2 linked regions of the Neodiprion lecontei genome follow. The protein of the gene in region 1 purifies or fractionates together with the protein of each later gene. This does not show direct contact. Links are inferred from orthologs where the notes say so. Each region holds a gene or a part of one and is shown on either strand. Other genes may lie near its edges.

The links. Proteins that work in one complex are often made in the same cells at the same time.
Region 2: the proteins of DNA-directed RNA polymerase II subunit RPB2 (region 1) and GPN-loop GTPase 3 purify together in Homo sapiens (co-immunoprecipitation; 3 studies listed by BioGRID and IntAct, counting the BioPlex papers as one, with this or other methods). This does not show direct contact. The link is inferred for Neodiprion lecontei from reciprocal best matches to the Homo sapiens genes POLR2B and GPN3.

What each region holds. Positions count from the first base shown.
Region 1 is NC_060263.1:16,081,764-16,093,666, forward strand, and holds DNA-directed RNA polymerase II subunit RPB2, read right to left. Parts: upstream 7,869-11,903; 5' UTR 7,729-7,868; coding exon 7,710-7,728; intron 7,360-7,709; coding exon 6,958-7,359; intron 6,862-6,957; coding exon 6,707-6,861; intron 6,620-6,706; coding exon 6,461-6,619; intron 6,372-6,460; coding exon 5,152-6,371; intron 5,072-5,151; coding exon 4,849-5,071; intron 4,610-4,848; coding exon 4,148-4,609; intron 4,066-4,147; coding exon 3,723-4,065; intron 3,646-3,722; coding exon 3,387-3,645; intron 3,298-3,386; coding exon 3,012-3,297; 3' UTR 2,605-3,011; downstream 1-2,604. Other genes in the region: E3 ubiquitin-protein ligase TM129, read left to right, coding at 1-27, 191-339, 437-560; uncharacterized protein LOC107220317, read right to left, coding at 9,315-9,398, 9,532-9,682, 9,768-9,868, 10,072-10,134. UniProt on the Homo sapiens protein: Catalytic core component of RNA polymerase II (Pol II), a DNA-dependent RNA polymerase which synthesizes mRNA precursors and many functional non-coding RNAs using the four ribonucleoside triphosphates as substrates.
Region 2 is NC_060262.1:18,445,891-18,454,660, reverse strand, and holds GPN-loop GTPase 3, read left to right. Parts: upstream 1-3,650; 5' UTR 3,651-3,890; coding exon 3,891-3,935; intron 3,936-5,114; coding exon 5,115-5,311; intron 5,312-5,386; coding exon 5,387-5,966; 3' UTR 5,967-6,035; downstream 6,036-8,770. Other genes in the region: WW domain-binding protein 11, read right to left, coding at 1-54; putative nuclease HARBI1, read left to right, coding at 1,185-1,451, 1,564-1,860, 1,982-2,190, 2,289-2,583; GPN-loop GTPase 1, read right to left, coding at 6,445-6,793, 7,195-7,424, 7,550-7,914, 8,701-8,770. UniProt on the Homo sapiens protein: Small GTPase required for proper localization of RNA polymerase II (RNAPII). May act at an RNAP assembly step prior to nuclear import.

The DNA.
Region 1 (11,903 bases):
CAGAATCCTCATTACGAGACTGCGCAGGTATATGGTACCATTATACTTTGATGAATCATTGAAGAAGTTCCTCAAAAACATGAATGTACAATGATATTTGAGTTAGCCAAGAGCCAAATTATAATCTCAATGATGTATTGACACGTGTGCAAATCATATGTACAGATTGCTCATTCAATTTTTTCTATAGGAGTTAGAACAATGCATTGGCTGTATGCAGGTGACATCAAATGTAAAGTTGAATAAGCTATGTGGTGACGTTACGGAAGAACGAGGCCCCGATGCCTGTGTTACATGTTTTTGTCGACCTATGTGGTGCATAGACTGTATGGCAAAATGGTAGGTTTTACATAGTCGTTTGCATATAACCAGTGGAATGATTGAGAGCCGGATTAAAAATGAGCAAAATTTGATATTTTTTTTACCACATTCTCAGGTTTGCCTCAAGACAGGATGAGAACTCACCCGAGACTTGGTTGTCTTCAAAATGCACATGCCCAGTTTGTAGAGCGAGGTTCTGTCTCCTGGATGTATGTTTGATACTCGTTTCAAGTAATTGATTTTCATCACATTTTTACATGTAATAAATAGCTAATTGTTGATTCAAAGTTTATTATACATACCACATGATTTGTAAGGTTTTCATTTACTAAAGATGAGAAGATACTCTTTCCAAGTGTTCATAGTAATCACGACGATGTCATAGATGACATATATTTTTTAAACGAAGAATCTAAGTACCTGTATAAATTATTCAAATACCGTGAATAGATGAACCCTGATCGTATTTTCAAATTTAGAATCTTGAAATAACCAAGTCTTTTCCAATTTTTCCTATTTTATATGCTTATATCGAATAGCTCTCACTGCACAGTCAAACTGTAATGTATACAATCTGAATTACGATAAGGAATAGTGAATATTAGAGATGCGTCATGTTTTTATAGCTCAGCAAATCAACGGCCCAACATTTTTTTTTTTAAACTGCACTTAAACGTTGAATACCCCACTCAGAATTCTCAAACAACAAGTTTATCACTTTTATATACTCAGGAATTTCACAAATATTTTTAACGGGCGTTTTGTCAAGCTTAAAATAGCGTATGATACAATGTAAGATTAAGATCTATACGTACATGTACGATATGCATATATGTAAAAATATAATTATTAATAAATACATAATATTTGATAATAGTTTGTTGCAATTCTTTTGGGGCAATATCCGTACAATAGTTGATAGCCTATTGAAATTCAATAAATTTAATGCTGTAATACCTACGTCTTATCGTTATTGTTTATACTTCTTTCTTTGGCCGATTTCTTGCGGTCCATTTCCGAGTCCAGTTTATTTGCTACGTTAACTTCTGGTTGTTCCTGGGATGGAGAACTGAAGGTGTCATTTTTTATTTCAACCCTGTTTTTATTCTTCTGTCTAAATCTCCCAGAGTTTGATACTGATAATCGACGATTGCCGCTGTGCTCATCAATCTGAGCTGTTATCTCTACTTGATTCTTGTTACCAAACAAATCGGTCAAAAACTTTTTGGCTGACATTTTGTTCTTTGTTTCTTTTTTTTGCGGGATCAATCAACTCTGCCGTCAATATCTGTGGTACAAAAAAATGAATAATTTAAATTGTACTTTTACTAGCCAGTTTATTTCTTACATTCAGATCACACAATATTCATTTAAACAAACAATTGCTTTTGAAGAGCAGCTCTATTATTTTTCGAAATTATCCTTCTTGCTTCCGTTGCACAGTAATGTTGAAATTCTCCTTATCTAATCTAATCTAATCTTCTGATAGCGTACATTGGCATATAAAATATATACATTATGTAAAGTTGAGCCAATTGCACTCAAATCAGAACACATAAATTTCTGTTGGGAAATTAAATCATTAATCAAGTTGCAATAACTTACCTGGAGTTTATTTTATCACTGAGAGGCTATTTTCCCTTTGCTAATTTTCCAATATTTGGTACTGATGAAACAATAGCTAATCCCATTCGCTTTTTCAAACAGAAATCAGTGACTGCGTTACTTGATAGCCTTGGAAGAGTTGAAATTTCTTATTGCATGAATAGCTCAACAGGAATTACCAAATTTTTCAATTATTTACGCACCGATTTATTTATTGCTGCAATAGGTGTTTAATCTTGATTCATTTGAATCCATCGAGTAACGTCAAACCGATGTACTTTTATCGCATGCACAAATATAGATAATTTTTCTTTCCAGTGCCTTTTCTTCTTCTGATATGTTCTCATGTCGCTTAGAATGAAATTAACATGTTCCCATACTCAGAAATTCGATTACTAAAACAAGAACAATATTACTGTGCTCCATTCTAGAGCGTGTTGTTTTATTGGACCGAGACAAGCTTCGAAACAGTAGTCACAATTCAATCGGTTATATGATACTGCCGATCTAAGAGCTATTAACAAAAATTGTGTCAATAATCAGCATCTTATCAATCCCGTTGAATTGATTATTTCAATGATAAAGTATTAATATGAGATATCACTTCAGTGAGGTATTGAAAATAACACCGTACCCCATATTGAAGATGAAAATTGTTAAATAACATCACACCAACGATTATCAATAATATTATTTATTCTCAATTTTGATAATTCATAAATAATAATCAGAAAATAACTATTTCGATTTCCATTTTGTCCTTCTCTCTTTCTTTGTTGTGTTAAAAATCACATCCGTACCTAAGTTAGGATGTTCAACAAATAATCTTGGCTACACATATAATCGATGAATTAGCGATTGTAAGAATTTGTTCGATCGATCCAATCAGTATTGATTGTGACGTTCCAGCCTGCAATACAGAGGATAAAAATAAAATAAAATTGGACGTTTAAGAATACGTGTGTCGATAAAAATGAAACACGAATTGTTGTATGATTCGTAAGGCTCGACATCAGAAGTACTGACAAAGTACCGAATGCTTGCCGAATAACCCAGCGACACAGCATCACCTAGAAATCTCCTCTTCAAATGACCATAAGTCGCGGGGCTATATTCATAGCCATTAATTCCTGGAATAGTAGTTTTGCTGCATAGGGCAGTCGGATTTGTGAAATTTGAGTCTTGTTCTTGCACCCTTTGCACTCGAACGTGTTGTTCCTAAGATTCGCAATGGCGATTAGGCCGCAGATATTACAGATATGAATTCTGTACGGGTCCGACACTTCGAAGAGACGCTCTCGAAGGAATTGCGCCGCTCCGTGAGATATTTGACAGTCACGTTCCATCTCCCCGAATCGTAGTCCACCATCCCTGTACGCGTAAATAGTGAAAACAATCGTAGATCATTGAGGAATGAATACCTTTGAAGTTCCGAGGTATTTGCTCAGTTAAAAACCTACCTCGCCCTACCCTCCATAGGCTGTCTGACCAAAATTTGTACGGGCCCTCTGGCTCTGCTGTGAATCTTATCGTCCACCATATGCTTCAAACGCTGATAATAAGTCGGACCAAGGAAGACTTGGGCATTTATTTTACGACCTGTGTGTCCGTTGTACATAACTTCATTACCTCTGAGCTGATATCCGTATTCTTGAAGAAGCGTGGAGATTTTTTGTACGTTCACGGCATCGTTGAAGGGCGTTGCATCGCCGATCTCACCTGCAGAAATTAATTGTTTCAATCTGTTGGAACATGGATACGCGATAGATAAACTATCGATAATTTAATTCCTTTACCTTTATTTGCAGATACTTTTCCCTGGATGCACTCGATCAAGTGACCGATTGTCATACGCGACGGAATGGCGTGAGGATTAATGATGATGTCTGGTGTTAACCCCTCGCACGAAAACGGCATGTCCTCCTGCCTGTACTGAATACCACAAGTACCTTTCTGCCCATGACGAGAAGCGAATTTGTCACCGATCTGTGGGATCCGGACGCTGCGCACTCGAATTTTACAGAACTTGTAGCCCTCGCTGTTCAACGTCAGCATGACTTGATCAACAATTCCAGTTTCACTGTTTCGCAAAAAGGTTGACGCGTCTCTTTTTGTAAATCGTTTTGTCGTACTGTCGAGCTGTGATTAAATAATCAAGCAATGAAACAAAGTCAATTCCGGATGGTTGTATCTGACCTTAATAAGGAATTCGCATACAAACCTCGTCGTCTGTTTCGGGGAGTGTAATAGTCTTGCCAATGACGACGTCGTCGCCAGACACTCGAATTCCCGGCGCAATAATACCATCGTCGTCCAATTTGTCGTAAATCGCGTTTCTCATTCCTTGACACGTTTGTCTTGTCGGTTTCTCAAACTGTTCTTCTTGGTCCCCGATTCTCTTGGACTCGGAGTCTTTGTAAGAACGGTAGAAAACGGACCTGAAGAATCCTCTTTCCACCGCGCTAGCGTTCAGGATAACACTATCCTCCTGATTATATCCCGTGTAGCAGAGAATAGCCACAATACTGTTTATCCCAGCAGGTAGTTCTCTGAACCGTAAATATTCCATCGATCTTGTTGTTACCAAAGGTTTGTGGGGATAGTATAAAACGTGCGCCAAGGTATCCATTCGGACGTGGAAATTCGTAATATAAACGCCCATTGCTTGTTTACCCATAGCGCTCTGAAAAACGGAACAGGACATGAAAACAATTAGTCAGTATTTGCCGAGACAGCAGAAAACTAAAATTTGTCAAAATGATGTTTTATGACTTATTTTTTGATAACTAAAAGACGTGAGTCATTTTTTTGACAAAACAATACCTTACGGACACATAGATATCACTTCTGAGTCGAAAAATTGGTCATAAGACACATTAGAATCGTTTTTTTGATGATTTTCAGTTTTGCACCGGCACTCACTTGATAGGTGTTCCTGGGACTCTGATTGTGATCGGGGAATGGAATGATGGAAGCGCACACCCCGAGAATCATAGCAGGGTGAATTTCACAGTGGGTGTAAGTTGTGCAGTACGCGTACTCCTTCTCTTGTCGGAGATCCTCTGGCGATATTGCGATCATCACGGTCTCCTCTTCTAGCGTATCGATGTACTCAACAACTCCGCTAGCGACCAACACCTGCCACCTACAATGAAGGTGATCACATCGTTGTAATATGAAACGAAAGAGGATGAGAAGTTTCTTCTTGAGAAAAAAAAGACTCACCCGTAGTTGGTATATTCTCTTTCCTTGAGCATGTCAATGTGGCGTTTTTTGAGCAGTAACGTTTGGTTCTCGACGATTAAAAGCGGCCTGCAAATTCGCCCAGCATCTGTGTAAATCCTAATCTCTCGGTCCCTGATGTCTCTGATCATAGATACTTCAGAGACGATAATGTCCATCTGTCTTCTGAGTTTTCTCAACGTGGCCATGAGCTGTTCTGGATCTCTGTGTATTCCAACCCAGCAACCATTGACGAAAATTTTTGTCGCATCAGCAATCGCACTGGGAGCAATTTCCTCAAGATTTTCCATTGACCATTCTTCTAAGAATTCGAGAATCGGCGATGGCTGTGATCCAACGCTGATGTACGCCATCAGAGCCAGATTCTTGACCAAACCTACAGCTGCACCTTCCGGTGTCTCAGCAGGGCACAACATTCCCCATAAAGTATTGTGCAGCTGACGTGGTTTAGCCAGTTTCCCATCTCTGCCAATGGGCGAATTCACTCTCCTCAAATGGGACAAAGTTGAGGCAAAAGTAAGCCTGTTCAACACCTGGGAAACACCGGCTCTTGCTTGGTGAGCCTTTTTCTGATCTCCCCAGTTTCCCGTCGCCAGCGAGTATCTCAAACCATCTGTAATTATCTTAGTCTTGATGGCCAGCTCCAGGTTAAAGTCTTTTCCTCTATCAATAAACTTTTGGGCGTACATTCTCACCTCCTTCATGAGATTCTTGAACAACCCTCTAAACAAAAACGCTAACAGCGGTCCAGCTAGATCCAGTCTTTTGTTTCCGTAGTGATCTCGATCGTCGAGTTCCCTTCTGCCCAACGAGGCTGAGAGCAGCCTGTGTACCATGTATCCCAAGAAATAGGCTTTCTTTGTTTCACAGAAATCACTTATGCCCACGTGGGGCAGCATTTCTTTTTGCAATATCTCCCTTGCGTACTTTATACGCTTCTCCTTTGTCACTCCAGGTCTCGCACCCCTTGTACCAATGAAATTCAGAGCCACGTTCTGTTCTTGTATAACGAACGCTTCATCCAGCGACGGTTTCACCATCTCCATCATTTCTGGATCGTCAAAGTCATATATAATGTGCTCGAGGATGTCACGGTCCGCCACAAACCCCAAAGCTCTGAACACTATCATTATTGGTATTTCTTGTTTTATGTACGGAAGTATAGCTATTATTCTCTGTCCAATAGCCGATTTTTTAATACTCTGTAAAAGATGTCACATGGTTGTTGACACAAGCCGTCCTTACTTCAACGAATGTACTGTGTCATAATAAAAAATAATAAAGAACTCACTGCGCCACTTTTCGCCATCATGTTTACCCACAGAGTTGACGTCGGCCGAGAGCTGTGCTCCAGACAGGATCGAATCTCTGCTTTGTAGGCATACTTTCCATCCTTCATACTAAACACATACACAGTATTTGTGGCCATTTTTTCTTGCGCAATGAGGACCTAAGATCACAGTTCGTCATTATTTAATCTTCAGGGTCTTGATAGTGATCAACAGTTAGAGAATGAGGAGAAATATGTCAGACGCACCTTCTCAGAACCATTTATGATAAAATAACCACCAGGATCTAAAGGGCATTCGTTTAATTCAGTTAAATCACGATCTGTCAGACCAGAAAGCAGACAGTAAGTCGATCTCAACATGATAGGAATCTTTCCAATGAAAGTCTTCTGATGTTGCGTTTCTAAAATTAAATCAAATTTTTGCTATAGTTCATCATTTTGAAGTCACACATAGGTTGGTACATACAATAAATAGGTTGATCGTAGCTGAGCCTTACCTATTGGGTCCTCTCCATCTTTGACAACAGTTTTGGTAATATCGACGTAAAGGGGTGCAGAATAGGTGAGATTTCTTAGTCTAGCTTCATTGGGCATCATGGGTGACGGGGCTCCATCTTTTTCCCAATGTGTCGGTTTGGAGAGATAGATTTGTTCAAATTTGAGCAGGTGTCTAACAGGATTCTCGATTTCTCCAGATGTGTGCTGAGCCTCAGCCTGTAGGTCGATCTGAGGTGAATCCTCAACTATTCTTTGTACAGACATTTGTATAAACTCGTCAAAACTGTCCAGCTGCTGACGCACCAGTCCCTTTTCGTCAAAGTATGTGTTTATCACTATCCAGCAGGCCTCTTGCCACAGTTCTGTTGAGATTTCCTCCACGTCTTCGTCGTCGTACTGATCTAAAGTGATATTAAAATTTATTAGACTATTGGCACGTCTTGAAGATCGGAGAGTTTCGACAGTAGCAAAATAAATAATACTATATGAATAAGAGAAGCAGTTTTGACGTTATTGGGAAAATTCCTAATTGGAGTAAGACTGTGTAAGAGATGGTTTAGTTAGAGTCGAAAATTACTCAAAGAATACAGCAGACTCTAGAAATAATGAGCAAATAAATATAACAATTTTAAGGTTATGTTCTACAGTCGTATTTCATTCTCTCCCATTATTTTTCTCATGTCTTCTTAAATCATAGTAGTGATAATTCGGTGTTACAAATTCACAATCCGCCTAGAAATAAATCACTCACCATCTTCCACTGCGTACATCTTCTAAGTTTGGTGATTATACACTAAATTGACAACAAATACTCCGTACGCTGCAGGTTAATCGAAATTAACACATTACTTTGTAGTTAACACGACACTGCGAGGCATTCAATTAATCCACTGGCCGCCAAACTGCGCCAAGTGCCGCCAACGCATATTAAAAGATGGCGCCATCTAGGAGGGAAAATTGCACTTATTAGACGGTATAAAAAACTGTTATCATTCAACGTGTCTTCGGTCTCTTCGGTGCATACGAAACACCAGTGCCATCTTATTTCAGGTAGCTATTTGCGTTGACTGGTTTGCATGGAGTTCGTGCACCTTGTATAGTCTTCGGTGGTACCAACAATCTCGTGTACAAAATTGAAATTCGACTGCTACCGCGTTGCTAAGTAAATTTGTTACAAATAAGAGAGGAAATGGCGTTGAGTCCGCAAACTAAACAGAAAATATCCATTGTCATCGAAGTGACGAAGGTTGTTTTTCATTGGGGATTTATTCCCGGAGTCCTCTTTTTAGGTTAGTATTCTCTTCGAATGGTTTTCAATTTGCTTTTGTGCTGCTAGATACACACACAGTGAAGGAAAGAGAAATTTTTTGACCAACGTAATCGCTACAATTGAAGTTTTCAATTCAATTATTTCTCCAGGGTTTAAGAAAGGCGCAGATCCTGGAATGCCGCCTCTCTCGGTAATGAAGTAAGTTTCTCTCAAAGAACGTACAAATTGAAATTTGAATTATAAGTAGCATATTCCATTAATAATCCTTGCGTCATTTTTTCAGCCTACTCTGGCAGTAGCACCATTAATTCTCAACTTTACTGAATCATCTGCAAAAATTACTGATGATTATCAATCCACATGTATCACATTGTACCTAAAATGTTAACACAGAAACCAATACAATAGACTGTAAATTCCAATAGAAATAAATGTTTAGTTAACATTCTTTGCAACATTAAATGATACATCGTTAAATAGACCTGCGGAAAAAGTGTTTAAATAGGTTCCACAAATAAAATTACCATGTGCCTCAACGCAGAGAATTCAGCATTCATGCATGCGTGTAATATCTGGTTATTAGGCACCATTAATTATATACATATACATTTTCAGAAAAAAAAGCCACTTAGTTAAATCCGATCATGGAAATCAAAAACAAAGAACACGTTTTTGCGGTTAATTACGGAATTCATTTAATAATACATAATGATAATATTAATTACACAATAAAATGTATATTTTTTCATCAGAAGTGTTATTCATAAATATGTGTAATCAGGTGATCTTTGAATACTGGATCACCATCGTAACATTATCATTTATTTTAGACAATCGAAAGAGATTCCACCCTTGTTTGTTTTGTTCATTCGATTCGATGCCAGTCCTCGAGAGAATTCAGTTCAATTGATTTTGCAAGATCCCTCAAAGTTCAACGTTCCTTAGATTACTCGTGTATCTGTAATATTTGACACGTTACAACAGAAAATCATTTTAACAATTGAGAAAATGAATGATTACAAATTACGTTAACTGTAAAAAAATACTAATTTTAACAAAAGACAGAAGCTGTGTAAAGACCAACCTTTACTTCACATTTCGCGTCACCTCTGAATATGGTGGAGGAGGCTCTGTGTATATTCTATCTTCATTAACCACCTCGAAAGCAGGCTATAACATACAAAAGCCTTTGGTATAATTTCTGTAATTCAAGTTTACTTGCAAACTGAATATAATAATGACCTGTTAGGTAATTTCATTTCTAGAAGAAAAAAATAAGTGAATTAGTAAAAAACGTGCTTACCAAGTTGCTTGTAGACTCGGCATCCTTTGCAAAACACCCATCAATACCTACAAGCTGGAATACAGGATGTCTGACACGGCATAAATATCGGCACATGAACAGCATACTGCAGCATATTAACAGCAGAGCCAAGGCAGCGCAGACTAAAATTCTAATTGGTAGTGTTAAAAAAAAAATGGGCATACAAATGGAGAAAGTTTCAGTTAGACAAGAGACTAGATTTAGAATTTACTTACGTTAAATTGAGGACCACATCATTATTAGTACAGCACATATTGTCTCCGCAGCAGTACTCCCAGGATTGACACGTATTCCATTCACAGTAGTTCGCAGATGTCTGAAGATGAAAATCAACAATGACAATAAAATTATCCACAGTTTGTGTTAGGTAGGCTGAAAAATTGTAATTATAGAATGAGAGAATAAGTAATGCACTACATAGACTTAAATTAACCTCAAAATTATTGTTGACAACCTAAATACAAACTGTAGTCTGTTTTTTACTATAAAACGCTATGTCGGTCGTGAATTAATATTTACCAATTTTATCGACGAAACGAATAGTGTTACTAGAACAATACGTGCGTTTGACAAGAACTCCATTTTCGGTTGTCTGTTTTGCTACTGTCTAACCAGATATACTCCGCCTTACACGTCGAAAGAAGAAATAACAATGAAACCCAGAAAAAAAACCTCAAGACCAATTACGTGCTGCAATAAGATGGTGAAAAGTCTAGACAGCCAGGAAAACTAATACAAGGAATCTACAAAGATGACGATATCAAATGTAAACAGGGATGAGATTGTTGCAACTACGACGACGCGTGTGATCGAATCAGAATTGATTAATAAATTATGACAGTTTTCCACAACTCTAGACGCGAGATCACCCACAAGCGGGCTTGTGCAACATCGACGAGCTCACAGGTGGTTGTCAGTTTGACGTGGCTCGATCTATGTATGTACATGCATACATACGTACATACATATGTACATAATACATATGCCAGCCACCAGCGCGCGATTAAAGCGATTCTTTATTTTTCTTCACACTGCGATCAAGCTTACACTGTGGATCAAGTCCACTGTGTTTTCTCAGGTATTGCAATGACGGTAGTGGGGGGGGGGGGGGGGGGGGGGGGTTCGCTCAAGGGGATGCCCCTACATATTTCACAAGCGAAAAAGGGCTAACCCAATTCTGAACAAAAACACTCCAACGCATTTTTATTTGAGGCAGAAATGAATGCATGAAGTAGCATGAATTCACCTAAATTATTATCGAGATTTCGTAGAATCCGTGCCATTTCTTTATTTCTGCATTAAATAAAAATATACTTGAGTGTGTCCGTTCTGAATTGTCTAATAGAATAACACCGTTATGCCGTTTCGTGTGAGATACGTGGAGATGGAGACTATACAAGGAGCACAAACGTTATGTGTACAAATCAGAGATGAAGAGGGAGATCTGCAACGCTCGGCTTTTCGTGATACCAGCTAAGTTGGAGCGTCGACGTGACACCTAGGCGGCCACGCATCGAAGGTGGCCCATTTCCGACCTGACACCAGGCGGCCATGCACCGAAGGTGGCCCACAATCGTGTATATGTAGATACACTCGGTTGCTCGAGCAAGTGGTTGCCAATCGCATTCTTGTCCTCGCTGGCACAGATGTTTCCAGGAATGCAAGAATTGGGATTTTTTTTGTTTCAGTTATGAAAGTCAGCGAATAAAAGTACAGATCTGAAGCCGCAATTAGTAAGAGAGAACACAGCACGACCGTATCACTCTGTTGCGCGTTCGAAAGAGTAGGGCTGCAGCCGCGAGGGAAAGAAATAACGCATACTGGGAAATATAATTGCATAAGTCCATGTGCTTCCCCCGGCAAGTCTCCGAATAGAGTGAGAGGTCAGACTCCAACTGTTGCTCTCTGTTTCTAATTACGGCTTCAGCTCGGTGCACAGACCGGGCAGTATATTTCTACACATAAGTCCATGTCTCTATTCGTCACTGAGCCTCGATATAATGAGAACGATCGACATGGGCGTTTTAGCTTTACTAGCGGCCAGAAAAAAGGAGATCCTATTCTCACAATGTCCACCAGGGTAGCGCTAGTGACGTTAATGTCAGGTTCATGGCTCTAGTTTGTTAATGTTTGCTCCCCCAATCTCCCCGGCATTCCCGTACTTTCCGCTTCTTAAATTTAAAAAACCTGACATTAGCAACTTTAGCGGCTCTAGTGTAGAAAGATCTTACTACAAATTTTCGACAGTTTCTTGTACATACATTACTATCGTTCTCCTTGGATCTAGACTCCGTACTATTTCTGTTCCGTAGGGGCGGCCATTTTGAAATTTAACAGAAAGCGTGACGTAG
Region 2 (8,770 bases), on another chromosome or scaffold:
TGTGGGATTCATGTATTTTCCACTTTTCGTGGTATTTATCGATCTTCGACCCATATTTGATTATTTTTTAATACACACTTCACAATTAGTGGAACTAGACTTCGTTATATTAACAAACTCTATTACTTTAATCACGATCTTCAGCACAAGTCTGGTGCTCGGTGCTTCATCAGTGCTGCCATATATCTTTGGGTATGTTCCGACATACACTGCGAGCACTGTTCAGTGCTCTTACTGGAGAGAAATTCGTTCCGTTATAAACTGACAGCAGAGAGCTGACAGTCAGTCGCGGTATCCTAGGGAAATATATGATGTCATAAATCGTCTTCATTTTTCTACTGTGAACACTGGTTCTAATTCAGGTAGCCAATTGTAGATGATTGCAGAGTTTGCATCACGCTTGTGTGAATTTCAAAGGTAAATATCAAATATAAAATGAAAATATATTTGAATGAGTACAAATTGAATAGATCTTGAATTATTAGAAATGCGTTAATTAATGTATAGGAATGGGAAATTACAATATTAAACAGGAAACATTCAAGTTACCTTTTCGAGCACAATAGAGATTATGGCCGGTATTCATAGTCAGTGCTTAAGACCGGACTCGAATAAGACGGTCTTATACGAGGCCTTAAGATGGCGTTTGGTTCCATAGACGTCAAACAAGACGGTCTTGAGACGCGGCAAATAAGACGGTCTTCATCAAGTCGGTCTTATTCGAAGCGTGCTTACAAGGTTGCATAGTCCAGTCTTATTTGAAATAAGCATGGTCTTGAGCACGCAACGTTTCATAGTCAATTAACGCAGTCTTATTTACGTATCTTGATCAAGTCGAGTTCGGACTGCACTTAAGCAAATGCTTGTTGCCTAAATATTACTCAATTGTTCTGATGCGTACGAAATTGATAATTACGAATTGTTTGGAAAATATTATATTCGAACAATATAAATTAACAGGAATAGATTGTGAAGGAATGTTTGGGAAAGTGCAGCTGGGACGGGATTATTTACTGTAAAAGGGTAGCAACGGAAACTTGCAATTGAAGTAGAGGTTATGAGAGCATTCGCTTTGAAAAATTTGTGAAGTGAAGTGAATAGTGAAATTCTACTGACATGGCGAATATGCAAGATATGTTTAATTTCTACGATCAGATCGAAGAAATGAATAATATGATTGTTCAATGGTCAACGTTGGGCCGAATGACGAAGACGAGGGTGAAGTACAGCGAGCTCCGAAGAGATACATCAGAGATGGTCAAAACCCGTTCGAGTTTTATTCCGAGCAGGAGTTCAAACGGCGATTCCGATTTTCAAAGGATGGTATTATGTACGGAATACTACCTAGAATTGAAGCTGCCTTAGTCAGTGCCAATAATCGTGGTCTACCAATTCCACCTGTCATGCAATTATTAATATGTCTACGATTTTACGCTACCGCTAGCTTTCAAGTAAGGATCATTGTGATTATAATTCCTGACATTCTACTGAAAATATAAAGTGATTTCATTGCTTCCTGTGATCATGGAATAAATGATTGCTAATACATTTTGTACTGTACAGCTCGTCAACGGAGATCTGATGACTATATCGCAGTCTACAGTATCGAGGATAATACACAGAGTATCGGCTCAAATTGCATCATTGATTCACGCAATTATCAAATTTCCTAGTACGGAAGCTGCTATGATCGCAAACAGAGATCTATTCAGACAACTTGGTGCACGCAGGGAGGGTATCGGTTTACCTGGCGTTGATGGCGCTATCGACTGCACTCACATTCGATTATGTCATACGAAATTTGCAGACCTGCAGGAGGTTTATAGGAATCGTAAGGGATATTTTTCCCTCAATGTACAGGTATGTCGCGTTGGTGATAACCGTTTACAAATACCATAAGTTGCAATTAATTTTATCTAGGATACAAATAAACAATACTATTCTATGAAAATCGGTACTTTTAATTTAAATGATACCACAGGCAGTTATCGGACCCAATATGGAATTCTTGGATGTGGTTCCGGAATGGCCTGGAAGTAACCATGACAGTCAAATATTCCAAAATTCACGAATTTACATGCGGTATCATGAGAGACAACTTACTGGAACCCTGGTTGGAGATGCCGGCTATCCGTGCTTGCCATTTCTGCTGACTCCACTGGCAAATCCAATTACAGATGCTCAACAAAGGTAAGATAAAGATTATCGCATTACTTTAGATTTCGATAAGTAGTCATAAAATTGACAAAGTATACATGTGTGAATTAACCAAGTCGGTATCTTGATAGGTATAACAACGTACAAAGCAGAACAAGGCAAATTGTTGAAAGAACATTTGGAGTTTGGAAGCGACGTTTTCCTTGCCTATCCCGAGGTTTGGGAACCAAATTGTTGTGCTCTACCACAATTGTTGTAGCTTGTGCCGTACTACACAATTTATCACTAACATTGGATAATGCTCTTCCGGAAGATAATCGCATCGAGGAAGAAGAAGCGGATGAATTGCCACCTCAAGCACCGCATTGGCAGCCTGGAGAGGGTTTTGCAATACGCGAAGCTCTAATCGAACGGTTATTCATTTAATCAAAATATATGTATATCAAGTTAATTTAATTGTAAAGACTAATTGATTTTAGAATGAATATACTCCAAATATTTAATAAAATTGAATTTAATCTGTACAAACAGTTAACATTAGAATACATATTTTACTCATAACTTATCATTGGTTCTCATTTTATTTTTAAACCCCTCACTTACTCATGAAAATACTGATATGTACGTAATTGTACTAAGCGTCAGTCTTATAGTTACGATAATACTTATGAAAATTTGTCTACGTAAAAATATTCAATACATTATAAATACAGCCAGTAAATAGAACTAAAGTTGCTCTTTTGAACTTTGAAGATCAAAGGTTGTCCCTTTCACGCGCATTTTTTTGCAAGTCTGCACCGGGATTCCTTTTAACATATCAATACAATTTATTTATCAATAACCGGTATAGAGATTTACATAATGATATAGGTTAAAATATGTGTATATAAAAATTATATACACATAAACATACACTATAAAATTCTTTTTCTTCTTCTTCGTTTTATAGCTATACACCCACTACAAAAAATTGCACGCGATTTGTTCCCGTTTTTTAGTTCCTCTACGTGGCGCTAACGTTGTTGTGTTCATAAACTATAAAAATACTCAAGAGCTGCATGCCTATACGAATATCTTGCACAGGCTGAGAAATAAAATCCGAGCATCTTATTGGGGGATACATCGGAAATATTCCGAACATAACCGAACGTCGAATAAGACCGTCTCAAGCTCAGTCTTCGTCAAGACGGTCTTGAATGAAATAAGCTAGCGCTTGAGACCAAATTCTTGACGAAGACCGTCTTGTTTTCCGACTATGAATACATAGCATCTCAAGACGGTCTTGAACGAATAAGACGATCTTCACCAAGACGGTCTTAAGCACCGCCTTGAGACCTGACTATGAATACGGGCCTATGACTCGTTCGCATCATCTATTTAGAATTCTGCACTGTTGGTAGCATGTAAATAATTACCATTCAGCTTCCCGTTTTCGACCGCAGTGCCGTCTGGATTCCTCCCAGCGCAAAATGATGGTGAAATTTAAGGTACTAAAAACCTGTATCCGAGAACCGGACCGATTTCTAGCACCGTGTCAACACGTTTGAGACACTGCTTTCAAGTGGCACGTGGTTGTCATAATTTATATACAAAATGCGATGTTCGAGTACTGAAAAGAAGACGAAAACCAGCACAACCGTAGTGCAACAGAAAAAATCGGTTGGAGAACATTAAAAATTCATCCCGATAATTCGATATTTTGATTAACAACGTGTTAATAATTGCATGCAAATATGAGATATGCCCAACTGGTTATGGGGCCCGCTGGCTGCGGAAAGGTAAATATGTACGAAGTGTGTATTAGCACTACAGAATGAATCTTCACGGCACTTCACACATGCCGAAAGTTCAAGTGTACCATATTTTTGGCAAAAAATTTCAGTGTCTGAACAATTTTTCGAGGCACGCTCAAATTGAGTGACAAAGGTTAGATAAAGTTTGGCTTCTGTTTAGACATCCACTCTACTCTACTGATGTTTTACCAAATGGCGATGTCTACAATCACAGTCTAGACGGGTTTAACAAACTTTGATCTAACAAACTTTATTCTAACAAAAATTTAACTCATGATCTGAGGTGACAGATTTTTTAAACTTGTTTCACTAACTTTGGCATTGTCTAACCTCAAAGTTAGTGTCAGCTCAGGATAGTTTTTGTGATTCATTCTGATAAAATGGAGAATTAGATTTTCTGAAAAATGATGAGGTATCTCCTGTTGAGGTAAACCTGTTAATCAGCACGCTAGAAAATAGTATGGATAATATGAGGTTTTTAAAAGATTTCCAAAGAGTTTTGATGTTCAGCATTTGATCTCTTAACAATGTTGAAAAGATGGGTGATTTAATCAATACTTCACTATTTATATGATTACTGAACAGTCGATGAATATATAATAATTTGATAAGTTCCAAATATGCACACTTCTTGCAATAAAATTAAAGAAAAGTCATTAAATTTCGAGACACCAACCTCCTTAAGAGTGTGCCCTGTTTGATTTCCGACGTTGATATATATATCTGCAAATATCGAAGCCCACGTATCTCAATCGCAAAAAAGAGCTTAAAGGCTTCATCCTATACGCAATTCTGAACAAAAACCCCCCAACGCATTTCCATTTGACGCAGGAATAAAGAAATGGCACAGATTTTACAAAATCGGAAAAGTAAATTCGTTGAATTCATGCAATTTCTGTATTTCTTCGTCAAATGAAAATGGATTAGAGTGTTTTTGTTCAGAATTGTGTATAGAATGGCACTGTTAAGCCCTTTTTTGCATTAGAGATATGTGGGCTTCAATATTTGGAAATGCATACATCAGCGTCGAAATTAACTAGGACACCCTCTCAAGCAGTCAATGTTATATTTGTTGAATGCATTAGCCAGATATCTGCTACTATTACCAGAAACAAATAAATAACCTAAGTTGTATATTGATGAGTCTGTAATTATGTCTTACAGTCTACATATTGTTCCACTATGGTACAACATGCAACTGATGAAAAGAAGGTTATAGAAGTGGTGAATTTGGACCCAGCAGCTGAGTACTTCGACTATGAGCCTCTGGTAGACATACGAGAATTAATTCACTTAGATGATGCCATGGAGGATCAAGAGTTGAAGTTTGGTCCTAATGGTGGCCTTGTGTTCTGTATGGAGTGAGTGTCTATTTGATTATTTTTCTCATTCAACTTTTTACTTCACGTTTGTAACCCGAAATATTGATTCATTAGATACCTACTTGAGAATTCGAAGTGGCTGGAGGAACAATTAGGTGACGTGGATGAGGACTACATAATTTTCGATTGCCCTGGTCAAATAGAACTGTATACGCATATGACGGTGATACGTCAGCTTGTCGACATGCTGCAGAATATTAATTTCCGAATTTGCGGTGTGTTTTTATTGGACAGTCAGTTTATGGTAGACGGTTCGAAGTTTCTGTCGGGCACAATGGCAGCCCTTAGCGTGATGATTAATTTAGAACTTCCACACATCAACATTCTCACTAAAATGGACTTGCTCTCAAAAGGAGCAAGGAAACAGTTGGATAGATATCTAGAACCAGATCCACATAGCTTGTTGGCTGATATGGAAAAGGGTCACTGGAACCAAAAGTATAGAAATCTCACTGAAGCTCTTGGAAGATTGATCGAGGACTACAGCTTAGTTAGATTTTATCCACTCAATATCAAAGACGAAGAAAATATTGCTGACATAAGGCTGACTATTGATAATATCATCCAATATGGTGAGGAAGCTGATGTCAAAATGAAGGACTTCGACGAGCCAGAGCAAGATGATGGTGATTAACATAAACCATCCAATCCATCATGTAAATAAAACTATTTTTTTCAAATAATAAATTGTCTTTACACGTCAGTACCATGTGTTTCATTCGCTACAACGATGTGTCAAGTGAAGAGCTTCCCTCACGATTTTTGGCTTCTCAAACTGAACACATGTCAGTTGTTGTTTTCTGTAGTCTTGAAGCTTATTTCAGTGCAGTCTACTCTGTCAAAGCAAATGTTCAATACAAACCACTGCATCATTTTACAGGCTGTTTACGACTATAACCTAGTTATGTATACTTGTTTAAAATTATTACCGTCAATTTTAAAGTTGTTTTAGGTATTTTAGAATGGATTTCCATCAACCAAATTGATAGGTATTAAAGTTTATTTTTGTACAAAGATTTTCATGGTACAAGGGCCATAAACATTTGGTATCAATGAATTTTATGATCAACCAACTTTATTCTCGAATGGTGTATTCTATGCTGAGAAATATGTCAGCCTCCTTTGCTGGTACTCGGTTCACTTTTTTGGGACTTCGCTCGTCTGTCCTGTTCGGCTTTTTGTTTTGCAAGAAAAGTTTTAAAAGATTCTGCCTCTTTTCGTTCATCCTCGTCCACTCCTGGATCTCCAGAATTCTCTTCGCCTTCTTCATCATCGCTAGACTCGTTGGCTGGGTGTTTCAGATAGATATCTGCTATCTCACGGCCAACATTAACTGTACTGACCAATGGAACAACATCGCCGGAACCTTCCGCAGCTGCCTTTTTCAATTGTGCTTTCCTTGCTTCTTCCTGTGCTTTTGCATTCTCCACGCGGATTCTCTCCCAATCTTTCTTATAGTCTCTGGAACATTCGTTAAATAGTATAGAAAGTATACAATAAACGAAATACTTATGAAGGTGTAGTTCGTAATTTTAATGGCTAAATTCTCTTTCCTACACATCCATTACGTGAACGTTTCCAATTTCAATCTCATAAATATTTCTCAACAATTTTGATAATCTTATCAATCAGAAGTTGAATGGTACCCGTTGAAATATAAAGTAGGGTAATGTTAGTTTCGTGTTCAGAATATCTTTTAAACGAATTAAGTGAAATATTGGCTTAAATAACGTTGCAAATGAGTGAAATATTACATTATAGCCAAGTTTTAATGCAAAGGATGAATAGTCGAGAATTTTCTCACTTTTCTGTCAAAAGCCGTGAATTTTTGAGAATTTTTAAACATTTCAGTACAAAATTACGTTTCATATTCTTTGGCCGCTTCTTCAATCAGCTTGAAGAAGCGGGGAACTCCATCCCCGGTCAATGCCGAGACACCACAACTGCGCAGGTGACAATAGAATTCGTCAAGTGCTAGTGCCAAACTGCGTGTCAAGTTACTTATGTAGCTAGTCTCTGATTCCAAGGCTTCTTGGAACGATTCAAAATCTTGCATCCAATCCACTGCATAGCTGTGCTCAACAACATCTATCTGTAACCATAAAATCTCAAATGAAATCTACTAATCGAGTGTTGATGAAGTGTACATGCATTGAAAACTGCAAAATTTGTACTAATCAACGATTACTTGAATTATTTGTATTTTTCTCAATTTACCTTATTCATTGCTATAACGAATGGAAGTCTGGTCTTGTAAAGAATAGAACATGCATATAGCATATTCGACATAAAGGTAACTGGGCTGACGCTCCTCACAGTATCCATGACATAGACAATCACAGTTGGAAATTCAGAAGCCAATGCCTCAGTGATGATCGTGCCGCTGGCTGACCAAGTGAAAACCTCTATTTGACCAGGAGTATCCAATATAACAAATTCGTGTTCTTCTCCTGCCTTTTCAATCAGTTTTATCACCTGGTCAAATTTTGTTGAGAATAAATTCAGTGCCGTAACAATACCACCGTTTGGGCCCAACCCATACTGCTTCATGACCTCCTTGTAGTTGACCGTGTCTCTAATGTCTGAAAAAATGGTTGACTTATCGAGCAACTATTGAACATCTTAAGACGGCCGCAGACACATAATGATGGTCGCCGATCCATCCCCTATCTTGCTTCATACAACCCTAACGGCTCATGAGAACCAACTCTATCACATATGGCGAGTGTTCGTAGTGATTATTATTAATATTATTATTATATTATTCTTGTCCCGAATTGTTGCATTTATCTTTATTAAAAAGTTTATTGAGGAGATATATACAAGTAGATGGCTAGAATTTTGGGAATTTATATCTCAACAACCAATTATGCAATTTGATTAAGATTCGTTTCATTCAAATGTCTGCAGATTAAGTTCCATCAACGTTTTCTCTATTAAAATCAGACAATAGGAAAGATTGTTATTCACATTAGGATAAACCGTTTTGCTCAGTGACACGTTTTTCAGTGCCCATGATGTCGCAGAAACAGCTCGACTGATTTGTATCAAATGAGGATAGATTATTCTTGGATAATTTATCCTCTTTGCCACGACTCTACTTTTCTTTTGAAAATTTTCATGTTTTTTTGTTAATTGAGTTAAAAAAAAAGGTTTAAATTTAGCACGAAAAATCAAATTTCTTGTCATGATATTAAGAATTCTGAGTTTTACAGTTTTTATAGGATTTTATAAGCATTGGAACTTTCTTTCACAACTTCCAGGCATGGTATGAAACATAGGATTTTCACAAAATTCAATATATATCACAATTTCAAAATTACCATGGAATTGTACAGCAAACTCAATGTAACTAGAACTGAGCTCACCTATATTGGCTGGGTAAGGGACTTCGGAACAAGCCGGATCCAGATTGATAACATATGGTTTACCAGTGTT